2 linked regions of the Xenopus tropicalis genome follow. The protein of the gene in region 1 purifies or fractionates together with the protein of each later gene. This does not show direct contact. Links are inferred from orthologs where the notes say so. Each region holds a gene or a part of one and is shown in the gene's direction. Other genes may lie near its edges.

Evidence for each region.
Region 2: the proteins of tmem9b (region 1) and flvcr1 purify together in Homo sapiens (co-immunoprecipitation; 3 studies listed by BioGRID and IntAct, counting the BioPlex papers as one, with this or other methods). This does not show direct contact. The link is inferred for Xenopus tropicalis from reciprocal best matches to the Homo sapiens genes TMEM9B and FLVCR1.

Annotation. Positions count from the first base shown.
Region 1 is NC_030680.2:4,064,493-4,077,174, reverse strand, and holds the start of tmem9b (transmembrane protein 9B), read left to right. Parts: upstream 1-5,682; 5' UTR 5,683-5,786; coding exon 5,787-5,867; intron 5,868-6,856; coding exon 6,857-6,957; intron 6,958-7,089; coding exon 7,090-7,198; intron 7,199-7,647; coding exon 7,648-7,782; intron 7,783-12,682. UniProt on the Homo sapiens protein: Enhances production of pro-inflammatory cytokines induced by TNF, IL1B, and TLR ligands. Has a role in TNF activation of both the NF-kappaB and MAPK pathways.
Region 2 is NC_030681.2:14,318,650-14,331,140, reverse strand, and holds the end of flvcr1 (feline leukemia virus subgroup C receptor-related protein 1), read left to right. Parts: intron 1-279; coding exon 280-385; intron 386-966; coding exon 967-1,078; intron 1,079-6,066; coding exon 6,067-6,134; intron 6,135-7,721; coding exon 7,722-7,781; 3' UTR 7,782-9,048; downstream 9,049-12,491.

The DNA of each region.
Region 1 (12,682 bases):
AGCCATCTCTGCGCAGACAATCCGCCTCCTGAGCAAACTGCGAGCATTATTATATATTATATCATATTTATACTGCTACAAATATTTAGGAATTCGTATTTTTTGTAACCTTAGAGCTGTGCTGCCTGCGCTCCTTAAAGGGCCAGTACCTCAATATGCGCAACAAGCTGCATGAACTAAACCATTCGCTGCCTTTACCTCATTCAGATCAGCCAATCAAATTGTAGAACACATTCAGCAGCGGCGCACAGCGATGATGTGTTTCCTATAGGTGGGAAAGGTACTGGGGCTGGGGGGGGGGGGCAAATAGCAAGGGAGGGCACCCCGACACCTCTTTATTTGTTTGATATAATTATATATGTGTATAATGTGCCCTTTGTCTTTGTGGCAAGTTTATTTCTAATAAAGCAAACTTTTAAACTACATGTGTGAAACCTGTGTGTATCGACCGCCCCACCCACCCACCCACCCACTCACCCACCAACTCACCCACTCACTCACCCACCCACCCACTCACTCCCCCCCCCACCCACTCACTCACCCACCCACTGTATTAATTAGGGTCTTCTCTGGGACCAGCATAGCAGCCTTACTCACTGCCACCTCCATAATAGTACAGAAGGAGAAAATCTAATTAATACTGAGAACACCGGGTCATATTCATAAGAGAACTCTGAGTATCACTCATGTATTATAAGGGACAATGTACCCCCTACTGTAAATGATAAGGATATTAGCAGTCACTGAGGGGTTCTGTGCCCCCCATATAAAGGCACAAGGCTGCAGGCTGAGTTATACAGGGAACTCTGAGTATCACTCATGTATTATAAGGGATAATGTACCCCCTACTGTAAATGATAAGGATATTAGCAGTCACTGAGGGGTTCTGTGCCCCCCATATAAAGGCACAAGGCTGCAGGCTGAGTTATACAGGGAACTCTGAGTATCACTCATGATAGAATCAGAGAGTTTATTGTATGGCCCCTTATATATTTATATATAGTGACCCCCCCCCCTTAACTGCCCCCCCCCCCAGTGTAACCAATCCCAACTGGGCCAGCCTTTCCCCATAACTGAGCCCATTCCCTTTATCAGCTTAGTCGCTCTTCCCTGTACTTTCTCTATTTCATTACTGCCCCCCCCCTTATATATTTATATATAGTGACCCCCCCTTAACTGCCCCCCCCCCCGTGTAACCAATCCCAACTGGGCCAGCCTTTCCCCATAACTGAGCCCATTCCCTTTATCAGCTTAGTCGCTCTTCCCTGTACTTTCTCTATTTCATTACTGCCCCCCCTTATATATTTATATATAGTGACCCCCCCTTAACTGCCCCTTCCCCAGTGTAACCAATCCCAACTGGGCCAGCCTTTCCCCATAACTGAGCCCATTCCCTTTATCAGCTTAGTCGCTCTTCCCTGTACTTTCTCTATTCATTACTGCCCCCCCCCTTATATATTTATATATAGTGACCCCCCCTTAACTGCCCCCCCCCCCCGTGTAACCAATCCCAACTGGGCCAGCCTTTCCCCATAACTGAGCCCATTCCCTTTATCAGCTTAGTCGCTCTTCCCTGTACTTTCTCTATTTCATTACTGCCCCCCCCTTATATATTTATATATAGTGACCCCCCCTTAACTGCCCCCCCCCCCCGTGTAACCAATCCCAACTGGGCCAGCCTTTCCCCATAACTGAGCCCATTCCCTTTATCAGCTTAGTCGCTCTTCCCTGTACTTTCTCTATTTCATTACTGCCCCCCCCCTTATATATTTATATATAGTGACCCCCCCTTAACTGCCCCCCCCCCCCGTGTAACCAATCCCAACTGGGCCAGCCTTTCCCCATAACTGAGCCCATTCCCTTTATCAGCTTAGTCGCTCTTCCCTGTACTTTCTCTATTTCATTACTGCCCCCCCCTTATATATTTATATATAGTGACCCCCCCTTAACTGCCCCCCCCCCAGTGTAACCAATCCCAACTGGGCCAGCCTTTCCCCATAACTGAGCCCATTCCCTTTATCAGCTTAGTCGCTCTTCCCTGTACTTTCTCTATTTCATTACTGCCCCCCCTTATATATTTATATATAGTGACCCCCCCTTAACTGCCCCCCCCCCAGTGTAACCAATCCCAACTGGGCCAGCCTTTCCCCATAACTGAGCCCATTCCCTTTATCAACTCAGTCGCTCTTCCCTGTACTTTCTCTATTTCATTACTGCCCCCCCCCTTATATATTTATATATAGTGACCCCCCCTTAACTGCCCCCCCCCCAGTGTAACCAATCCCAACTGGGCCAGCCTTTCCCCATAACTGAGCCCATTCCCTTTATCAGCTTAGTCGCTCTTCCCTGTACTTTCTCTATTTCATTACTGCCCCCCCCCTTATATATTTATATATAGTGACCCCCCACCTTAACTGCCCCCCCCCCAGTGTAACCAATCCCAACTGGGCCAGCCTTTCCCCATAACTGAGCCCATTCCCTTTATCAACTCAGTCGCTCTTCCCTGTACTTTGTTTACAGAAAGTTTGAAATAAAAACATTTATATTGGGAACATTTTATGTGACATTTCAGCCCCCCCCCAATGAGCCCATAATGCCCCTCACAAGCGTCAGTCTCACAGTTCAGCTTGGGGGGCCCCACTGTGCCCAGCCCGGTGCCATACAGGGCAAGTTGTTTCCCAGTCGCACGCTGTGGGGCAATTAATATGGGAGGAAGTGAGAGCAGACTGTGACATTTAGATGGGGGGGAGTAATGAAAGGGCTGCAGCTCTCAGCATGTCCCCCCCAGGCTGGGCCCAGAGACACAGGAACCCCCCGCCATGGGGAGAGCTGGCAGCTCCGGCCGGTCGTGACGATGAGGAGAAATTCCCTATTTCAGCTCTGTGGGTCACTCATGAAATAATAACTGGGGGGGGGGGGGATCGGCAGGAACATCAGCGAGTGAAAGAGCTGAATATAAAGACACAGAGCAGAACCAGCGCCTCCGATACCGACTGGGTTCTTGGCTGGCGCAGGAGTGAATACCAAGTAGATTTGCCCCTCCTAATGCAACTGGACCTTGTGTTCCGTCCAACTGGGCCAGCCTTTCCCCCTAACTGAGCCCCTTATATATTTATATATAGTGACCCCCCCTTAACTGCCCCTTCCCCAGTGTAACCAATCCCAACTGGGCCAGCCTTTCCCCATAACTGAGCCCATTCCCTTTATCAGCTTAGTCGCTCTTCCCTGTACTTTCTCTATTTCATTACTGCCCCCCCTTATATATTTATATATAGTGACCCCCCCCTTAACTGCCCCTTCCCCAGTGTAACCAATCCCAACTGGGCCAGCCTTTCCCCATAACTGAGCCCATTCCCTTTATCAGCTTAGTCGCTCTTCCCTGTACTTTCTCTATTTCATTACTGCCCCCCTTATATATTTATATATAGTGACCCCCCCCTTAACTGCCCCTTCCCCAGTGTAACCAATCCCAACTGGGCCAGCCTTTCCCCATAACTGAGCCCATTCCCTTTATCAGCTTAGTCGCTCTTCCCTGTACTTTCTCTATTTCATTACTGCCCCCCCTTATATATTTATATATAGTGACCCCCCCTTAACTGCCCCTTCCCCAGTGTAACCAATCCCAACTGGGCCAGCCTTTCCCCATAACTGAGCCCATTCCCTTTATCAGCTTAGTCGCTCTTCCCTGTACTTTCTCTATTTCATTACTGCCCCCCTTATATATTTATATATAGTGACCCCCCCTTAACTGCCCCTTCCCCAGTGTAACCAATCCCAACTGGGCCAGCCTTTCCCCATAACTGAGCCCATTCCCTTTATCAGCTTAGTCGCTCTTCCCTGTACTTTCTCTATTTCATTACTGCCCCCCCTTATATATTTATATATAGTGACCCCCCCCTTAACTGCCCCTTCCCCAGTGTAACCAATCCCAACTGGGCCAGCCTTTCCCCATAACTGAGCCCATTCCCTTTATCAGCTTAGTCGCTCTTCCCTGTACTTTCTCTATTTCATTACTGCCCCCCCTTATATATTTATATATAGTGACCCCCCCCCCTTAACTGCCCCTTCCCCAGTGTAACCAATCCCAACTGGGCCAGCCTTTCCCCATAACTGAGCCCATTCCCTTTATCAGCTTAGTCGCTCTTCCCTGTACTTTCTCTATTTCATTACTGCCCCCCCTTATATATTTATATATAGTGACCCCCCCTTAACTGCCCCTTCCCCAGTGTAACCAATCCCAACTGGGCCAGCCTTTCCCCATAACTGAGCCCATTCCCTTTATCAGCTTAGTCGCTCTTCCCTGTACTTTCTCTATTTCATTACTGCCCCCCCTTATATATAGTGACCCCCCCTTAACTGCCCCCCCCCCAGTGTAACCAATCCCAACTGGGCCAGCCTTTCCCCATAACTGAGCCCATTCCCTTTATCAGCTTAGTCGCTCTTCCCTGTACTTTCTCTATTTCATTACTGCCCCCCCTTATATATTTATATATAGTGACCCCCGCCCCTTAACTGCCCCTTCCCCAGTGTAACCAATCCCAACTGGGCCAGCCTTTCCCCATAACTGAGCCCATTCCCTTTATATATATTATTATATTTTGCTGTTTCAGTGAATATGAATGGTATGAATTCTCGGCTCGTTACAGAAGAAGCACTAAAGCCCCCGAGTGGGGGGAGAGGGAAGACAAACAGGGGCAGGTGGGCCGGGGGGGGCGCCTCGTGGGGCGAATGGAATGAGTCAGTCACTGACAAATTGGAGAGAAGATTTTCTCATCGTGTTGCCATGGAAACACAGTCCAACTGGAGAGGGTCGGCCTCGCTGGAACAGAAAAATCAATATTAGTCAGCGAAAACCACAGAATAATCGTCATGTAGTGTGTGTGCCGCGGCAACCGGGTCACATGGAGCGGCCGCTGGGTCTGACACGTGCGCAGCCTCCATAATGGGCTCCATGGAAATGATTCTGTCCTATGGGAACAAGTTACGTTACAATTTACGCAATGTACGTAACTAAAAGAAAACTACGTAACTTGTGTATCAAGCAAAAGCCAATGCGGCGACAAACCCCACTGCCCCCCAATGTACCGACTTATTAGCACATTCATTATTTTTGCTGTTTTTATGAACTTCTCCTCAGGTTATTGGGCCCCTAAACTGACCCAGTGCAGCGCAGGGGCAGGTAGTGGGAAGGGGTTAACTGATCCCCAATAAACAGAGTGACTATATAAATAACTTGTATGGGGCCCCAAAGTCTCTCACAGTGTCCCTGTTAGTACATAAAGGTAAGAGAAAAGCAAGTGCAACATTTTACAAAGCCAAGGTGTGACCGATATCATTACAAAGTGGTACTGAGTCCAACTGCACTGCCTGCTGCACATGGAGAGCAGATAGTGGCAACTATACACTTTGGGTGTGGCTGGGGGGGGGTAACTGGGTGCCAGCAGGTGTATGGGGGGCACTGACCCAGGACCTCAGTGTTGCCCAGTGAGCTTGCATCCTGCTGCCCCCCCAGCTCTCACTAAACTCCCACAAGTGTAACTTAGGAGCAAATCACAGTCTCTGTGTCTGAGTTATTGGGGTTCTGTCTCCCCTGTGTCTGTTCCTGGCTGCAGATGCGCAACCTATTTATTTCTATTCAGTCCCGGAACCATAGTGTCCCTCCTCCAGACTCCGGGCGGAAAGAAACGGGCGATGCACTCCTACCCGGAAGTGGGGCGGAAGTGGGGCAGCGTCTTGTGATGCCAGTAGTCAGCAGATCTATTACGTGAGCTGTAGGTCCGGTTGTGATGATGGCTCGGTACTGGGCACTCCTGGGGATCGCGTTGGTTCTGCTGGCGGTGGCTGTGCAGGGAGGGGCTGGGGATAAGGTGAGTCCGGCCTTTCATTTGTCTCTTCCACTGTCAGCTGGGGGGGCCGGGTAATCATGGGACTGGGGAAGGGGGGTCAGGATGTGGGGAATAGGTTGGAGTCACTGGGGGGGGGGTCAGAGGAATTTGGGATTAGGTTGGAGTGGGTGGGGGTAAATTTGGAGTCAATGGGGGGGTCAATGGATGTGGGGGTCAGTTTGGAGTGAGTGGGGGTCAGTGGAGGTGGGGGTAATTTTGGAGTCAGTGGGTGGGGGATCAGTGGGTGAGTGGGGGTCAGTTTGGAGTCAATGGGTGGGGGGGGGATCAGTGGATGTGGGGGTCAGTTTGGAGTCAATGGGTGGGGGGGGACGGTGGATGTGGGGGTCAGTTTGGAGTCAGTGATTGGGTGGGGGTCAGTTTGGAGTCAGTGGGTGAATGGAGGTAAGTTTGGAGTCAGTGGGTGGGGGGGGGGGATCAGTGGATGTGGGGGTCAGTTTGGAGTCAGTGGGTGGGGGTCAGTTTGGAGTCAGTGGGTGGGGGTCAGTTTGGAGTCAGTGGGTGGGGGTCAGAGGAGTTTGGGGGGTGCAAAGTGTAGGGGTCCATGAATAATTGTAGGAATCAGTAGGGAAGAGAGTTGGCAGAAAGTGTGGGGGGGTCACTGGGGGCAGTTAGTGACAGTCCCACATATTTGGGACTGAGGAAGAGACAGCGCAGAGCTAAAAAGGGCAAGATGTTTCCCCAACTGCTTCTAAAGTGCAGGGAAATCAGCACAAAACCTGCAGCCAATCAGGCGCCCACAGTCCAGCTGGGAACTTGGTTCTCCCAGAAGCCCTGACCAACTGCAGGGCTGTAAGTACACCCATTGAATCCACATGCTGCGCCGGTAATTAGCAATTTGGTGTAATATGTGTAACAGTATAACCTTCCCCCTGTATCTTTCCCTGTGTGTAATGAGATCGCTGCAGAGCCTCTTGCCGACGGGGCAAATAGAAATCTGTGCTGTGTTGCAGGATACTGGGAGCTCGGTGGACGCCCGGTGCAAGTGTATTTGCCCCCCCTACAAGGATAAGAAAGGGAACATCTTCAACAAGAACGTGACCCAAAAAGACTGGTAAGGGCTGTTTCATTCGTTTGGGGCTCGTCCCATATTGTGGGGGCGGAGCTTCTCTGCAGGGGAATGTAAATGGGGTGCACAAGTTACCCACATGCCTCAGTATGAATATCTGTATATTGTTCTGCATAGCGACTGTCTCCATGTGGTGGACCCTATGCCAGTCCCGGGGGCCGACGTCGAGGCCTACTGTCTGCGCTGTGAGTGTAAATACGAAGAGAGAAGTTCTTCCACCATCAAGGTAATGCTCCTCCCCCATCAAGGTAATGCTCCTCCCCATCAAGGTAACGCCCCGCCCCCCTTTCCTATAGGTAATAACGGGCCTGGAAATATATTCTGTCCGACTCCAGAACCAGCTCCAAACAGGGAGGAAACAATAAGCATTTGAGAAGCTTAAATTAACTTTCAATAAGACAATTTCAATTGGTCTTTGTTTTTCTATTTTTGATGTTTTTTCAGTTATTTAGGTTTTTGTTCAGCAGCCCTCCATTTGGTATTTTAGCAGCTATCTGGTTGTTAGGGTCCTTTTACCCTAGTAACCAGGCAGCGGTTTAAACAAGAGATGGGAATATGAATAGGGGAGGGGCTGCATAGAAAGATAAGTAATTAACATTAACAAAAACAATAAAACTATAGAAAATGAAGAAGCTGGATATTCGGTTACTGACTTTCCCATCTGCCATTGCCCAGGTGACCATTATAATCTACCTGTCCGTGTTGGGGATGCTCCTCCTCTACATGTTCTACCTGACCATAGTGGAGCCCATGTTGAAGAGGAAGCTCTTTGGTCATTCTCAGCTCATACAGAGTGAAGATGAAGTTGGGGTAAGTGTCAGCTCTGTAGCAGTCTTGGTAATTAGACCTGCCAATCATCCACTGCTGGGTACCGCCCCATCTGTTGCTTCCATACAGCTTATTGTGTGCCCAGAACATTCCTTCTCTGTATATTTGTATTTATACATATGGGTAGGAGGTGCCATAGTGTTTCCCTTAGACAGTACAGTATGGGGGTACAGCTTATTGTGTGCCCAGAACATTCCTTCTCTGTATATTTGTATTTATACATATGGGTAGGGGGTGCCATAGTGTTTCCCTTAGACAGTACAGTATGGGGGTACAGCTTATTGTGTGCCCAGAACATTCCTTCTCTGTATATTTGTATTTATACATATGGGTAGGGGGTGCCATAGTGTTTCCCTTAGACAGTACAGTATGGGGGTACAGCTTATTGTGTGCCCAGAACATTCCTTCTCTGTATATTTGTATTTATACATATGGGTAGGGGGTGCCATAGTGTTTCCCTTAGACAGTACAGTATGGGGGTACAGCTTATTGTGTGCCCAGAACATTCCTTCTCTGTATATTTGTATTTATACATATGGGTAGGGGGTGCCATAGTGTTTCCCTTAGACAGTACAGTATGGGGGTGGAGCTTATTGTGTGCCCAGAACATTCCCTCTCTGTATATTTGTATTTATTCATATGGGTAGGGGGTGCCATAGTGTTTCCCTTAGACAGTACAGTATGGGGGTACAGCTTATTGTGTGCCCAGAACATTCCTTCTCTGTATATTTGTATTTATACATATGGGTAGGGGGTGCCATAGTGTTTCCCTTAGACAGTACAGTATGGGGGTACAGCTTATTGTGTGCCCAGAACATTCCCTCTCTGTATATTTGGGGGGGGGGTGCCATAGTGTTTCCCTTAGACAGTACAGTATGGGGGTACAGCTTATTGTGTGCCCAGAACATTCCCTCTCTGTATATTTGTATTTATACATATGGGTAGGGGGTGCCATAGTGTTTCCCTTAGACAGTACAGTATGGGGGTACAGCTTATTGTGTGCCCAGAACATTCCCTCTCTGTATATTTGGGGGGGGGGGGTGCCATAGTGTTTCCCTTAGACAGTACAGTATGGGGGTACAGCTTATTGTGTGCCCAGAACATTCCCTCTCTGTATATTTGTATTTATACATATGGGTAGGGGGTGCCATAGTGTTTCCCTTAGACAGTACAGTATGGGGGTACAGCTTATTGTGTGCCCAGAACATTCCCTCTCTGTATATTTGTATTTATACATATGGGTAGGGGGTGCCATAGTGTTTCCCTTAGACAGTACAGTATGGGGGTACAGCTTATTGTGTGCCCAGAACATTCCCTCTCTGTATATTTGGGGGGGGGGTGCCATAGTGTTTCCCTTAGACAGTACAGTATGGGGGTACAGCTTATTGTGTGCCCAGAACATTCCCTCTCTGTATATTTGTATTTATACATATGGGTAGGGGGTGCCATAGTGTTTCCCTTAGACAGTACAGTATGGGGGTGGAGCTTATTGTGTGCCCAGAACATTCCCTTCTCTGTATATTTGTATTTATACATATGGGTAGGAGGTACCATAGTGTTTCCCTTAGACAGTACAGTATGGGGGTACAGCTTATTGTGTGCCCAGAACATTCCTTCTCTGTATATTTGTATTTATACATATGGGTAGGGGGTGCCATAGTGTTTCCCTTAGACAGTACAGTATGGGGGTACAGCTTATTGTGTGCCCAGAACATTCCCTCTCTGTATATTTGTATTTATACATATGGGTAGGGGGTGCCATAGTGTTTCCCTTAGACAGTACAGTATGGGGGTACAGCTTATTGTGTGCCCAGAGCATTCCCTCTCTGTATATTTGTATTTATACATATGGGTAGGGGGTGCCATAGTGTTTCCCTTAGACAGTACAGTATGGGGGTACAGCTTATTGTGTGCCCAGAACATTCCCTCTCTGTATATCTGGATAGAGTTTGGGTTTGTTAATGATTGAATATATCAGATAACCAATAATCTGGTGTGTGTGTTTCCAAAGCAGCGCTGATCCCGCTCTCTGTATTTACCATAATCACACAGAGCCATTGTGCAGACTATTAGCTAAATATCAGGAATATTTCCTGCTTTTCTCAGTGCTGGGGGGGGATCGTGGATATTTATTTGTCCTGTTCTGTCTCAGCGCAGTCAGTAATTGTATAATGGAAATCGCAGCATTGCGCCGGGACGTGCCGTTCCTAATAACAGCCGGGGGGGGGGGGGGGGGGTATAATTAGGGGCTTCTTAATCAGTGTCCTCGGCCTTCAGTTACTCCTGTTTGCATTCAGCCTTATTAGGGACTAATTAGTCTTAAATGAAAAGACTCGAGGAGAATCAGATTGAAATGAATGCCTGGATGTACAGCTTGTAATGTCAGGGCAGAGACAGGTGTCCCAGGGTGCTCTAGGGAAAGGGTTTCCTTTATTATTATGGTGTGTTAACCCTTTGCTTGCCAGCAGTCTTTGATTTCGATGGTTTGTTAGTAAGCACACAATGTGCCATAAAGCAGGGCAGGACTGCTGCTTACAATGGGGGGATCAGATAGGATCTGTGCCACTGTGACAGAATGCTCTGTTATACAGATAGCTAGAATCTCAGCCATAAAGCAGGGCAGGACTGCTGCTTACAATGGGGGGGATCAGATAGGATCTGTGCCACTGTGACAGAATGCTCTGTTATACAGATAGCTAGAATCTCAGCCATAAAGCAGGGCAGGACTGCTGCTTACAATGGGGGGATCAGATAGGATCTGTGCCACTGTGACAGAATGCTCTGTTATACAGATAGCTAGAATCTCAGCCATAAAGCAGGGCAGGACTGCTGCTTACAATGGGGGGGATCAGATAGGATCTGTGCCACTGTGACAGAATGCTCTGTTATACAGATAGCTAGAATCTCAGCCATAAAGCAGGGCAGGACTGCTGCTTACAATGGGGGGGATCAGATAGGATCTGTGCCACTGTGACAGAATGCTCTGTTATACAGATAGCTAGAATCTCAGCCATAAAGCAGGGCAGGACTGCTGCTTACAATGGGGGGATCAGATAGGATCTGTGCCACTGTGACAGAATGCTCTGTTATACAGATAGCTAGAATCTCAGCCATAAAGCAGGGCAGGACTGCTGCTTACAATGGGGGGATCAGATAGGATCTGTGCCACTGTGACAGAATGCTCTGTTATACAGATAGCTAGAATCTCAGCCATAAAGCAGGGCAGGACTGCTGCTTACAATGGGGGGGGGGGATCAGATAGGATCTGTGCCACTGTGACAGAATGCTCTGTTATACAGATAGCTAGAATCTCAGCCATAAAGCAGGGCAGGACTGCTGCTTACAATGGGGGGATCAGATAGGATCTGTGTCACTGTGACAGAATGCTCTGTTATACAGATAGCTAGAATCTCAGCCATAAAGCAGGGCAGGACTGCTGCTTACAATGGGGGGATCAGATAGGATCTGTGCCACTGTGGCAGAATGCTCTGTTATACAGATAGCTAGAATCTCAGCCATAAAGCAGGGCAGGACTGCTGCTTACAATGGGGGGATCAGATAGGATCTGTGCCACTGTGACAGAATGCTCTGTTATACAGATAGCTAGAATCTCAGCCATAAAGCAGGGCAGGACTGCTGCTTACAATGGGGGGGATCAGATAGGATCTGTGCCACTGTGACAGAATGCTCTGTTATACAGATAGCTAGAATCTCAGCCATAAAGCAGGGCAGGACTGCTGCTTACAATGGGGGGATCAGATAGGATCTGTGCCACTGTGACAGAATGCTCTGTTATACAGATAGCTAGAATCTCAGCCATAAAGCAGGGCAGGACTGCTGCTTACAATGGGGGGGATCAGATAGGATCTGTGCCACTGTGACAGAATGCTCTGTTATACAGATAGCTAGAATCTCAGCCATAAAGCAGGGCAGGACTGCTGCTTACAATGGGGGGATCAGATAGGATCTGTGCCACTGTGACAGAATGCTCTGTTATACAGATAGCTAGAATCTCAGCCATAAAGCAGGGCAGGACTGCTGCTTACAATGGGGGGATCAGATAGGATCTGTGCCACTGTGACAGAATGCTCTGTTATACAGATAGCTAGAATCTCAGCCATAAAGCAGGGCAGGACTGCTGCTTACAATGGGGGGGTGCCCCAGTAATACACACGGGGTCCCTATCCCACGCGCTTGCTGTACCCTGGCTGGGCGCCCAGCTCCCTTGTGTTCCCTACAAATACCAGGAAACATTATCTCGGGGCGGATATAGTAAGTGGGGAAGCACAAAGGGAGCTGTGTTTGTTGTTTGCACTTGAGGGGGGGGGGGTGGAATTGAGTTGGGGGGGTGGAATTGAGTTGGGGGGGGGTGGAATTGAGTTGGGGGGGGGCAGATCTGTGTTTGGGGAACATTTGGGATCACTTAAAGGGAAACTATTGTTACTCGTTACCATTTAACCCTATCCTGTAGTTACAGTTACATTTAACCCCTGAATTTAATGCTGTAAACCACTAACCAATCACCAGCAGTCGCAACCAGTAGTGACTGAGTGATCGAAAGTGAAAGATGGGATCTATACAGCTGCCATGGGGGGGGGGGGGGGGGGGGGTATTGTGTGAAACCCATATTGGACCAATCAGCAGCTAGGCTGACCTGATAGGGAACTGAAGCCTGTGTGTGCTTGTGTGCCTGCAGGGCTGTGATTGGCTACTCTCCTACTGTGCTAGGACACGCCCACCCCTCATTAGAAACCCAGACAGGGACCTGAGAGGATCTATAGGGAGCTCCAATAAAGGGGCCATTGTTACAGATAGGGTTAATGTTTAGCCCAAAGGGAAACCAGCACCGGATATTATTCATAACTGCCTACAGGGTTAGGGT
Region 2 (12,491 bases), on another chromosome or scaffold:
CCTTGGCTTGTTTGTGTGCACTGTGACTCCTGTGATCCCAGGAAGTGGCCCTTGGGTGCTATTGGGTAATTTCTATTTAGGATTACCCAATAGCACATACTACTAAAAAAGTTTATTTATATGAAAATGGTTTGTTTAGATGAAGCGGGGTTGCTTGTTTATGCAATATATTTTTATATATATTTTATATATTGTTTGGGGGTATAGTTTCCCTTTAATGATCAGTAGGCCTGAGCTAAGCAGTGTCTATAACTGGCCCTGTTTATCTTTCCATTTCAGGTTCTTTATGACTGGGTATCTGCCGCTTGGTTTCGAGTTTGCTGTGGAGATAACGTACCCAGAATCAGAAGGGACCTCATCAGGGCTTCTAAATGCCTCTGCCCAGGTAGGTGACTGAACTGTCAGCCCACTTTAAATATCTCTCCTGTCCCTTATGTATCAGTGCAGCCAATCCTTCACATGTCAGCCTCATACAGTAGCAGTCAGGTTTGGACTTGGCTTCAAGATAGGCCCTGGCATTCCAAGTACACAGAGGCCCAAACACTAAATAGTGACTGTCTATGGCATCTTACAGCAGCCCCTCTGGCATTTGCCATTATCCACAGATTGCCAGTCCGGGCCTGGCCCCTAAGCAACGTTAGTGTGTGTGACTCCCTTTTCTTGCAATTGCCCCTGTCTAACCAATCACTGTATATATTTCTTTATACAAAATTATCATCTTAATATTTAAATTCTGATTCTGTAGTTAACCTAACCTGTGGCATCAGGCTCCTATAGCAAAACCAATGCCATGGGTACTTTTTAGGGGGAGTCTTCTTGGTTACAAATAGAGAGCCTGATGTTACAAAGCGGTACAAAAGGAAAACACTCCCTAATACAGAGCTAACTTCTTCATGAACATGAATGTGGCTGCTTGTAGCATGCAGGGACTTCACACAGGGTATTTATTGGCTGTTCTCCTTTCAGATATTTGGGATTTTATTCACATTAGCCCAAGGGAAACTGACTACAGACTACAATCCACAAGCTGGGAACATCTTTCTGTGCGCCTGGATGTTTGTGGGTATCATACTAACAGGTGAGTTTGTGTTACCAGCGGCTGAAAATGCTTAAATAGGTGTCCGGGACTAACGCTGTGATTAAAGGGTTCCATATTGTATGAGAACTAGGCACAGGGCATGTCTCCTACAAGCCAAGGTGATCTCCACACAGTGATCACAGTATGTCTGTAGGGACTCCCATGAAGTGCATTCGACCAAACCTTCTTTTTATAAAAGAATATCTCTCACTAGAGTGTGATGGCAAGAGAGGCTGGACAGTGGGGCATCATTGGACAGTTAGTTATAGAACAGTTCGGTTCATACCTGGGGGTATTATAAAAATCCCATAGAAATGAATGGAGAGTGATGGAATTTCACTCTAGGGGACTTTGGCAAACTCTAACTTCATTCTTTGATAAGTATACCCCCTGGACTCATAGAATCACACACAAACAATGGAGTCTAGCACAGGGAATCAGGCTCAAAATGATGGGAGCATACAGCTAGATGGTGGTCTGTGTCCCACTGGATTTTTCACCCAATCCTGTCACTAGCTGAATTAGCCCATATTAGGTATCATTTTGAGGCCATATATGCACCATTAGGGTGCCAACTTGATCAAGGCTGGCTGAGTTTAAAGCTGATGTATACGTGTGTATGGAGAAGGAAAGGTACAATCACTGGGGGGGTGGCAAAATGTTAGGCACCCCCCAGTGATTGTAATCGCTTACCTTATACCCTGGGCACACCCCAGTGGATTTACCTTTCCTTCTCCTTTAAGATACAGTGTAGCTCTTACACAGGGGGGATAAATAGAGATCAGCTGTCATTTACGGCTGCCTCCAGAACTATACAATGAAAACCTTCCTCGTGTAAGATAGGATGCTTGTTATGAAGAAGTAGTTTATTTGTTTGGGTGCAAATGGCATTTGGAACAGCCTATAAGCCTGGGATACTGTTATAGTAAATTTCACATTGCTGCCGGGGCTTTTCTTTTGCAAGTGGAGCCTCCTGTTTTATAGAGAGAGGTTTCAATCTGTTTATCTCAGGGCATCACAGTACCCATTTCATGCCAGGGCTTCTGCTTTCCCCTCCCATTTAACTGCCTTGGCACAATATTTCATGTATCACTGTTAGCCGATACTGGCAGATCTCCTGGCTGAAATTCATGTTCATCCGGTGAGTCAGAATCAATTAACCCTAGCATGTCCCGGAAACCTGCACGTTGGTCTGTCTGGTTCTGGAACACGCTGCCTGGCATTCTGGACAACCCTAAGGTCTCATGGTGCGAGTCCGTAGCAGAGATATCTCTAACTGCCATATGTGCCATAGCCCTTAATCCCTAGAGCTTATTGCTGATGGTCAGAGAGATGAGAATATTAGAGACCACTAGTCTCTGTCTGTACTGTATCATAGCACCTCCCTATTCTACTTTTTATACACAGTCACCCTTTCATGTAGAGCTACATTTATGACCCTGTTTGACAGTTCATGCCCTCAAATTATACCTTTAGAATGCCAGACTTGAAAGGGTATTTACAGCTATGGAAGGATGACGGAAGCCAATGTTTTCCTCCAGATGTCACTGAATTTCAACTCCCAGCATGTTGCTTGTTGTAGTTAGATTATGTCAGGTACGTTTCTGGTTAAAGGTCCCCATACACGGGCCAGTTCTAGCTGCCGATATCGGTCCCTTAGACTGATTCGGCAGCTAATCGGCCCGTGTATAGGCACTACCAACGGGCCTGCCCGACCGATATCTGGCCTGAAATTGGGCAGATCTTGATCGGGCAGGTTAGAAAATCTAGTCTGATCGGGGACCGCATTGGCTCGTTGATGCGGTCTCCAAACCTACTGCCCCATTGCCGCCAATATAATTCGCCTACACGCTCCCCGATATTGCTCACTCGTAAGGTGGGGATATTGGGTGAAGATCCGCTCGCTTGGCGACCTCGCCAAGTGAGCGAATATTAACTTGTATGGGCACCTTTAGGACCAGTTTAAGATATGCTTTGCTGATTACTGTTAGTCTGTGGGTATACTTTCCCTTTAATGGAAATACAATGTTGTTTTGAGACTGCCAGGCACCTAATCATTTGCAAAGAGTTGATTTCCAAAGTCTGAGCAGCCAGGTGGGGGCAGAAAGGAATTGGGTGCTGCCTGTCTGCATCTGCCCTACCTGAAAGCTTAGTGATAGTTTGGCAATGACTTTGCGGCCCTAGGCACTTACATAACTTGCACAGAACTGGGCCTCTTCCAACAGCGCCGATCTCACGACGCACATTACCTGCCGTCATGGAAACAGGGATGGGTTTCCTGTGCTGGAAAGGTGTTTGCTAAGGAATAGTAATATAGTTTCCGAACTTCCCAGTATGCCCAAAAGGCAGCACTGATGCTGGTAAGCTGGGAGTTGTAGTTCTAGTTGGGAGGCAATAGCAGTGCTGTTTGGGATAGCTGGGTCACAGGGGAATGCTCTGGCAGTGCACCATTCAAAGGAAGCTCAACATTGCTATAACACAGCAAGAAGTGAAGGGTGCAAGGGATAATTGCTTCCCCCATCCTGAAAAATCACTACAGATAGATAATATTCTATCCAGGGCCTGAAAGGGATGTATGGCTAAATATTACAGCATGTGCTATATAAAACCAATAGCCATCCAGCCTTTCATAACACCAATTCCCAGCATGCTCTTCTAGCCATTAATGACTGGGATTGCTGGAGCTACAGCTCACTGTAGCCAAAGGGCTGTGCAGTTATACCTTCTTCACTGAAAAATAATATCCTGCCATAAGATGTATCAGGTTTCTTATTTCAATAATAAGACTTTTTTTTTTAGATTGTATTGTGTGTGTATTGTGTGTATTGTGTGCAGCCAGGGAGTTCCAACTTGTTGGGATTAGGTTTAAACAATGGCTGCTGTTGGTTATTAGGGTGTGATACTAATAAATAGAAAGGGGTGCTTAGTAATGCAGCATTATGATATATATAATGTTATGTTCCTGTGGTCCCCAGAGTTCTGGGTGTTCCCTGATGACCTAGAGAGACGCTATACATAACCCAGGGTTGGCCAGCACAATATATATATATATATATATATATGTGCAATCCAATATACATTATTTGTCTGTACCCCTCAGCTAATTGTATGCTCCAAGGAATCCTTTGTTCTGCTGCCGTAGGAATTGCTTGCAGTGTGTTTATTCAGCTGGATGGAGAGGAGGGTGCCCTTAGCACACCTGTTGTGTCAATAGTAATGCGTAGGTGGTTGCACGGCTGGGACAGGTTCCTAGGCATGCCTGCAGCTGGCACTTCATTCTAATACACAGCTTACTCACATGAACATGTCATAAGATATATATTTAAATATAATCACATAGGGCATATTTCAGCCCTGTGTGATATAGAGTATAAAGGGCCCCCCAATAACTTTAATTTAATTGGTTCATTACATTGTTGGCTGCTTAGAACTGTAGTTGTTGCTATGTAGCCATAACTGCTGTGCCAACATCCCAGGGTGCAGAATGCTGGCAGGGGCACAGTGCTGTGCAATGTGAGTCAGTAATGGGTTTGTTCCATTGTTGGCTGAGACAGCCATTAGATCTGGCCAGAGATTTCCTACTGTGTTTGCTTATTGCATAAGTGAGATACAGTATCTATCCCTGTGTGTACTGTGCACTCAATGACAGCCTAACAAAGAGTGAGTGCCAAGAATGCCCAGGCTGGGCTTCCTCTTATTAAACTCCATCACCCCCAATAAGAACAGCACAAGGAAAATAATGATTGGTTACCGGGTTACTGCTCCCAAGCAACATTTCTACCTCTTCTGATTCAAACAAGTCATGCGATTGTATATACCGGATGCCACCTATACATTATAGAGTGAATAATGTACCCCCTCTTCTAAAATATAAGGATACTATAAGGCACTGAGGAGTTCCATGATTTTATAAAGGTCATGGAGCTCCGAGATGTCTTCTAATATCCTCATATTTTATAACGGGGTTTCAGTGAGTCGGGATATATATTATATACTGCTATTTTTTTGGGCAGGGCCATTTTAGCCTCTTGTATTGGTTGTATGTTTTTATGTATGTTTAATATATGCAATTATTTATTGTGAATATATATATATATATATGTATGTATATATATATGTGTGTGTGTGTGAATTGCAAGCAGCATGGCACCCCAAAAAATAGATACACTGACAGTACAGGTATAGGATCCGTTATCCAGAAACCCATTATACAGGGTTACAGGAAGGCCATCTGCCTTAGACGCCATTTAATCAAATAATTACATTTTTTTTAAATTGGATTTCCTCTTTTGCTCTGTAATAATAAAATAGGATAATTAATCCTTATTGGAGGCAAATCAATCCTATTGGGTTTATTTAATGGTTAAATGATTCCCTTTTCTCTGTAATAATAAAACAGTACCTGTACTTGATCCCAACTAAGATATAATTACCCCTTATTGGGGGCAGAACAGCCCTATTGGGTTTATTTAATGGTTAAATGATTCCCTTTTCTCTGTAATAATAAAACAGTACCTGTACTTGATCCCAACTAAGATATAATTACCCCTTATTGGGGGCAGAACAGCCCTATTGGGTTTATTTCATGTTTAAATGATTCCCTTTTCTCTGTAATAATAAAACAGTACCTGTACTTGATCCCAACTAAGATATAATTACCCCTTATTGGGGGCAGATCAGCCCTATTGGGTTTATTTCATGGTTAAATGATTCCCTTTTCTCTGTAATAATAAAACAGTACCTGTACTTGATCCCAACTAAGATATAATTACCCCTTATTGGGGCAGAACAGCCCTATTGGGTTTATTTAGTGGTTAAATGATTCCCTTTTCTCTGTAATAATAAAACAGTACCTGTACTTGATCCCAACTAAGATATAATTACCCCTTATTGGAGGCAAATCAATCCTGTTGGGTTTATTTAATGTTTAATTGTTTATGTAGAGTCTTTAGAGACTCAAACTCTTTCTTGTGAATTTTGTTTTGCAGCTCTGATCAGATCCGACCTCAAAAGACATAATATAAATGCGGGAATCACAAAGTCAGAATTGAAATCTGTAAGTATTGATATTCTGTTGTTGTTATACCATGCACATAACACAACAGGGGTATTTAATAGAAGCCTAGGGCTAGGCATTTGATAGGCACTTTCTGACCTTGTGATCACAGTGCAGCAGGACATAAGCCCTTTTTTTCTCTCCCAATATTGTGCTTAGAGGCTACTGATCAGTTATAAAGAGGCTGATGTGTCAATTTCTATATCTATATGGGAAAAAAGCAGGGCAGTCACACTACCAGCAGACAGTCCGTGTCTCTGTGCAAGCAGAAGAGCTCCCAGCACAGGAACAGACAAAGCTACCACTGCCTGTAGCACATAAGCACTTTTTCTGCGCGGTATTCTGATTTTTTTAATTTAGTGCTTATACTAGGTAGATCCATGATACACATTATAATGGAGATGGGCATATAATATACACAGCCCAAAGACACCTTACATTTCAATTTACAGGTTTATTGCCTAATCATAAATTGTCCTGGCCTTATAACTAAATAAATTCAGTAGTAATGCTGTAAACTTACTGTACCAGTGCAGCGGCCCTATAGCAGTTACGATTCAGTCATTTACAGTTTTCCACAGCAGCACCCCATCTTGGATTTTGTTAGGCCATCATTTGTGTGTCAGTGGCACCGCACGTGCTCAGTGGGCTCTGGGGCTGCTGCTGACAAGCTAAGTTTAGTCAGTTCCTAAGCTTAAGTAAGTGACAGCAACACAGTGAACGTGCAGTTAATCATGAGAAAAAAGATGGGGGGCTGCTGGGGGCATCTACAGAGGCACAGATCACCCCTGCTAAAGGGCTGGGGTGGCCTTGGGCTGCTACAGAAGCACATCATTTTTACCCTGATTTTTGTTGAGGTTTCGTTCTCCCATAATAAGTTCTTCTTGCCCACCCTAATAGCTAAATAAAGATGCAACTTTACCCAAAAAGACACTAGAAAATGTACCTGTTTGCTGGAGTTCAATGATTGTCCATAAGCGCTACCCTTAGCTCTAAAGATGGCTTCTTCAGCTGCTGCTGCAGCTTCCTGGCATTACTGGGCATGTGGGGATAGCTACAATTAGAAAGGGTTACATTCCCAGGAAAATGGAATCCCTTCAGCAATCCTTGATGCACCAGGGGCCATCTTCAAATTAAGCCTCCCCTTTAAGGCCCACCGATTAGCCAGGGACCCCAATAGCTCATAACAAGTTACTGATCTTACAAAGCAATTGCTTATGTAGCTTTGGCTCCAAAAATATCTAGGACCTCAATCAAGTGTTGTAATGGAAGGTGGGCTTCAAGGGTAATCTAGGACAGAAAATACTCATTTTACCCAAAGTAGAACCCAAATTTTATGTTTCCCAGGGGAAACGGCATCAATTCCGGGAAAAAGTAAAATCCGGGAACATAAACTTGGGGTTGTGCTGCATGTCTCCTAGTGGCCAAAGTCTGCTCCTTGAGTGCGCTGATGTGGATGCCATTCTTGTCAGCGCTTACTGCCATAGGGCAGTTTGAAGTGAATTGGCATTTTCTAATGAAAAGGGGCTCAGTGTCTATATAAATTGTACCCAGCTCCTCCTTACCAGCATTTTATTGTATTAACAGGTCCCTGTGCAGGAAGAAGGTTTAACCATTGGAAGCACCCAGTCCTCCTCTGCCGTCTGAGAACAATGGTTCCTGTGGGGCGGCCCGAAGTGTGCGATACTGTAGCAATGAGGCAGCTCTAGCCAAGGCACCGCACTTACCGGTATATACCGCTGCTCATCATATTACATGAGGGTAATACCGTGACGCGAGGGAGCTGCTAACTACAGTGCTGCAGGGGAATTTGTATTGGACCGAGCACAGCAGGACATTTGGCCAGTTACGTGGGTTCTTTATCTGCCCATAAGCCTTCTTCATTGTTATTTTAGTCATTATATCCTTTTATATAGGTTTTTCAGTGGATATTTCTAGAGCAGGTAGTGATGCTCTAGGCAGATATTGGAAATTAAGCCAAATGGGTTGGGTAAAAAAAAAAAAAAAGGCTAATATATTATTTATGTTATGGCCCCTGTGGCTACCCAGTGGGTTATGAGTTGCCCATGACCTGTACATTTCAGTGACTGTTAAGGTGCTAGTATTTTAGTATCTTGACTGAGAAAAATGAATATGCACAAAGCTGGTAGATAGTAAAGCCTATGCCGTGTCTTCTGGGAGGAAGCGTAGGTCACATGACAACGTGCGGGGCTGATTATCTGGGCATCACCAATGGTAAAGGGCAGAAAGGAAACGTGCGCACTGTGAGGGGAAACTGTGTGCGTTTGGGCCACCCCCGGCGCGCTCGGATAACTGCTGATTTCAGTACATTCACTTAGATATATTGTCACCCTTTGTGATGTTCCACTGCTTTGGGGCAAAGGGCAATTACCTGGAATACAATCAATTGCAACTTACTGCACAAGACACACCAGCGGCATGTTAGCCGAGACACTCCTTCTTAGAGGCATTATGCAGACTCCCAGCACTGTCAGCTAGCCACGAGGGTAGAAAGGGTTGCTGGGAGTTTCAATGAAAGATTGCTTTAGCCTGGTTTAAGGTTTATCCAATCTCCGTGCAGTTTATCTGTAGGAATAAGGCAGTAACTGCAGGCTAAGGATAGATCTGCCCAATGTGTCCTGTTCCCTCTGCAAGTAGTGAGACATAACCCAGTGGGAGGTTCTGGGAGATGCAGGGGGGGTTGGGCCTAGCCAGAAAAACAAAAGGCCTCATTTACTAACATGGAGCAAACTGGCACCAGTGCAGTAACCCTTAGCAACCAAATCCTACTGTCATTGTTCTTCAGGCAGTATCCCAATAAAATGTTGATTGATTGCTACAGGTTAGTGCATTGGTCAGCTTTGGCCCAGTGTTAGTACCAAAAATAACCAATGAGAATGTTTGTAGTCAGCGCTTAGTGTCATCGTGTCTGAATATTTATTTAAATATTTATTTGTGAATATAGAGATATCCGGAACCGAGGGTCTGGGGATGCCGAACGGTAAAAGGGAATTGTATCTGTGTATTTTTTAGTCATTTAGGATTTTAGCTATTGTTTCTGATTATGGGTAAGATATTAGGGGACTAAGCAGTGAACAGATACACTACAGTTCCTATTGGTGAAATCGCATGACACAATCAGTGTGGTGTTGCACTATTGGCTGTACAGCCCATTTAGTCAGATGTCACATGTGGAGATTTCTCTCAGATTTGCTCATCCGAGCACTTGACATTATTTTTGTTTTTTTGCTTTCGTGACATTAGCAGTTTTAAATGCGTAATATCATGAACAAGAACACCACCCACTTCTGTTGTCCAGAAACGCAAGTTGCAGGAAGTGTCTCCTGATGCATTTCTGCTACAATCTGAACAATGTATATTCTGATATATTAAATGGTTTGTGAGTCTTGGTCTCTTAACAAAGGGGACATACAGCATATCAACCCACGTACATTAAAGGGGAACTCCACCTAAACACAACTTGAGCTTTTTAAAAAATAAACATAATTTCAAGTAACTTTGCAATATACATCAGTTAAAAAAATATGCAGCCTTTCCATGATTTTAATGTACGGTAATATGGTTTGGAACAGTTCCCTAAGCCCCGCCCCCTGTTCCCCTTCTGATCTGGCTGGCTACTTTGAGACTCAAATAAAACTCTATCCTCAGCCTGCATCCTTCAAATCCCACAATTCCCTGCACACATGATGTCAATAAGGCACAGTGCAATGCATTATGGGTTATGTTGTTCCTGCATGCTGTCTGTAAGCTGTGGAGAAGTTGTTACAATTTGTAACATCAGTTTTAGTCTCTCCTCCCCTGCCAGGATTTCAAATGATACAGAAAGAGAAGAACTGTTTTGCAGCTGGATTTCAGCATATAAAAATGGTATTTATTCCTACTTTTTGAAGGAACAGATTACAGGGATAGGGATATTAGGGGTTTCTGGGTTGTGTGGAGCTCAACAAAAAGCAGGAGTTCCCCTGTAATGTATATAAAATAATGTAAAGTGCTCAGAAGAGCACCCCGAGCAGCTTTACCTGATTAAATCAGTGGGTGCCTCTATGTCCCAAATCTATGCATGTGATTTTCACTATTCGTTGTGGGAAATGGAGGTTTTTATATGGAGCGTTTGTATCTCGGTCGTTATTTATTTTCCCTGAGTGTCAGATTTTCATTCTACAGTTTTTGTATACACAAACACACACACACACACATATATATATATATAATATATATAATGGCACACCACAAAGTATTGAATTTATGTGAAAAAATGTTTTTATAGTTTCTATTTTTTACATTTCTTGTAGATTTTGTACAAAAGACACTTGTGCTTTTATTATTATTATTATTTTTTTTTCTTAAAGAGACATGACACCTGCTTGTGTGGGTGGGCCCTATATTAAAGGCAGCTATGGTGGAGCTGGACCCTTAGAGAGGTCAGACACATTGCTTTATAGCTGCTACAAATCACTCAGTGGGTAGTTAGGCAAAGCACTAACCCCAGAACCCTTTCTCCAGCTGTTTGGATGTGTCGGCTACTACCTTAGGCTTTGCTTAGGGTTAGGGCATATAGCTTGTCTACAAGTAGCTTTTATCTCCCATTTAGTCATTTAAAGGGAAAGTAACACTTAAGAGGGGTTTGGTTTTAATTATAAATACAGTATATTGTCTGTGGAGCATTTTAGCAGCTGAAAGTTGCAACTTGGCCCTAGTGACAATGTATTCTGTGGATATGGTATGCACTGCATTGAAATGTGTTGTTATCGCTTTAAATCAGGGGCTGCCTCTCTTTAACTGTTGAAATATCTGCTAGGAGTTGTAGATAAGAAATATCCAGAGGGCCACACCCCTGCTTCCATTACCCTGTATGTGTATGTTCTGTGTGCATATAAGGGTCATTTACTGACCAAGCACAAGGCTTTATGCCTTTAAAGGAACAGTAACATTAAAAAACTACAGTGTATTGAAGTAATTAATATATTATGTACTACTGTACACATTCATTTTTTGGTGTTACTGCTCCTTTAAGCTGTTTTGCTACTACAGCAGCTTCTGGAGGATGCTGGGATTTGTGGCACAGTAAGAGCGGAAGGGGCTGCCGATTGGATATCGATGATAAAAGGAGCTTGCCGATTGCAGAGCTACCAGCCCCTCATAGGAGGAGTCTTAATATACAGTTCTTTTCTTCTGGATACAAATAGATTGTAAGCTCTGCAGGACAGGGACTTTTTCTGTGAAATATGCAGCATACACTTCTGTAGCCATATTAGATAGAGTAGAAATGACGCTAATCAGGGGGAAGAACTGCCTGTAATACAGAGTATAGGGGTATGTAGAATATTAAACACAGTTGGAGAACCAAAGTGCTTCTCGGCGTGCGTTGGCAATCACAGGGAATATACAGTACAGAAGTACAGAAATCCTTCCAGCCAGACAAAGGGCATCCCCTGCTATTTTGTATTTGTTTCTGGCACCATTTGAATCTTATTTAATTGTACAACAGCGCTATTTTTGTTACAGTTACTGCGCCGACAGCTCCAGGCTTAAACATCAGGTGGCGCTGTTGCTTTAGATCCATTATATTAGCAGTGTACAAACTCCTAATATCTTGAAAACTAGAATGAATGTAGTTTGAAATAAATAAAAAGTGCAAAAGTGCTCAGACGAGCAATTTTTACATTAATATGTGTTGAGGTTTTACATTTCCTTTAAACAAAGACCAGTTGTCTCCAGCAAGGAGCTGTCCTGGGTACAGAGCACTTCCTCCCTTGCAACTTTTATCACATTCCCCTTATGTCTTTTAAACAAGCTTAAAGGCAAAGTTAACCTTGACATGAACTTTTCGTGTCCCTGAAACATTTCCTCTGGAGCGAAGTACTCTTACATACCATAGTCTGACCTACCAGCCCCCAGTTCATTAGTGTTGTAACTGGAGCGACTGTAGATAAATGGAACATCCCAAGCAATATACCCCCCTGGTCCAATGTATTTTCTACTGACAGTGCATTTCTGTTTGCTGTAATTCTCTATATAATTATGTATATGGTAAATGCTGTGATATCTGTACAGGAAGGATGGGTGTGAATACTGTATAATGTTCTGTATCTGTCCTCCCCTCCTTTGTATCCTCCCCTCCTCTGTATCCTCCCCTCCTCTATATCCTCCCTTCCTCTGTATCCTCCCCTCCTCTGTATCCCCCCTCCTCTGTATCCCCCCCTCCTTCTCTATCCTCCCCTCCTCTGTATCCCCCCCTCCTCTGTATCCTCCCCTCCTCTGTATCCCCCCCTCCTCTGTATCCCTCCCTCCTCTTTACCCTCCATTCTCATGTCTGGGACCAATGCAACATTCATT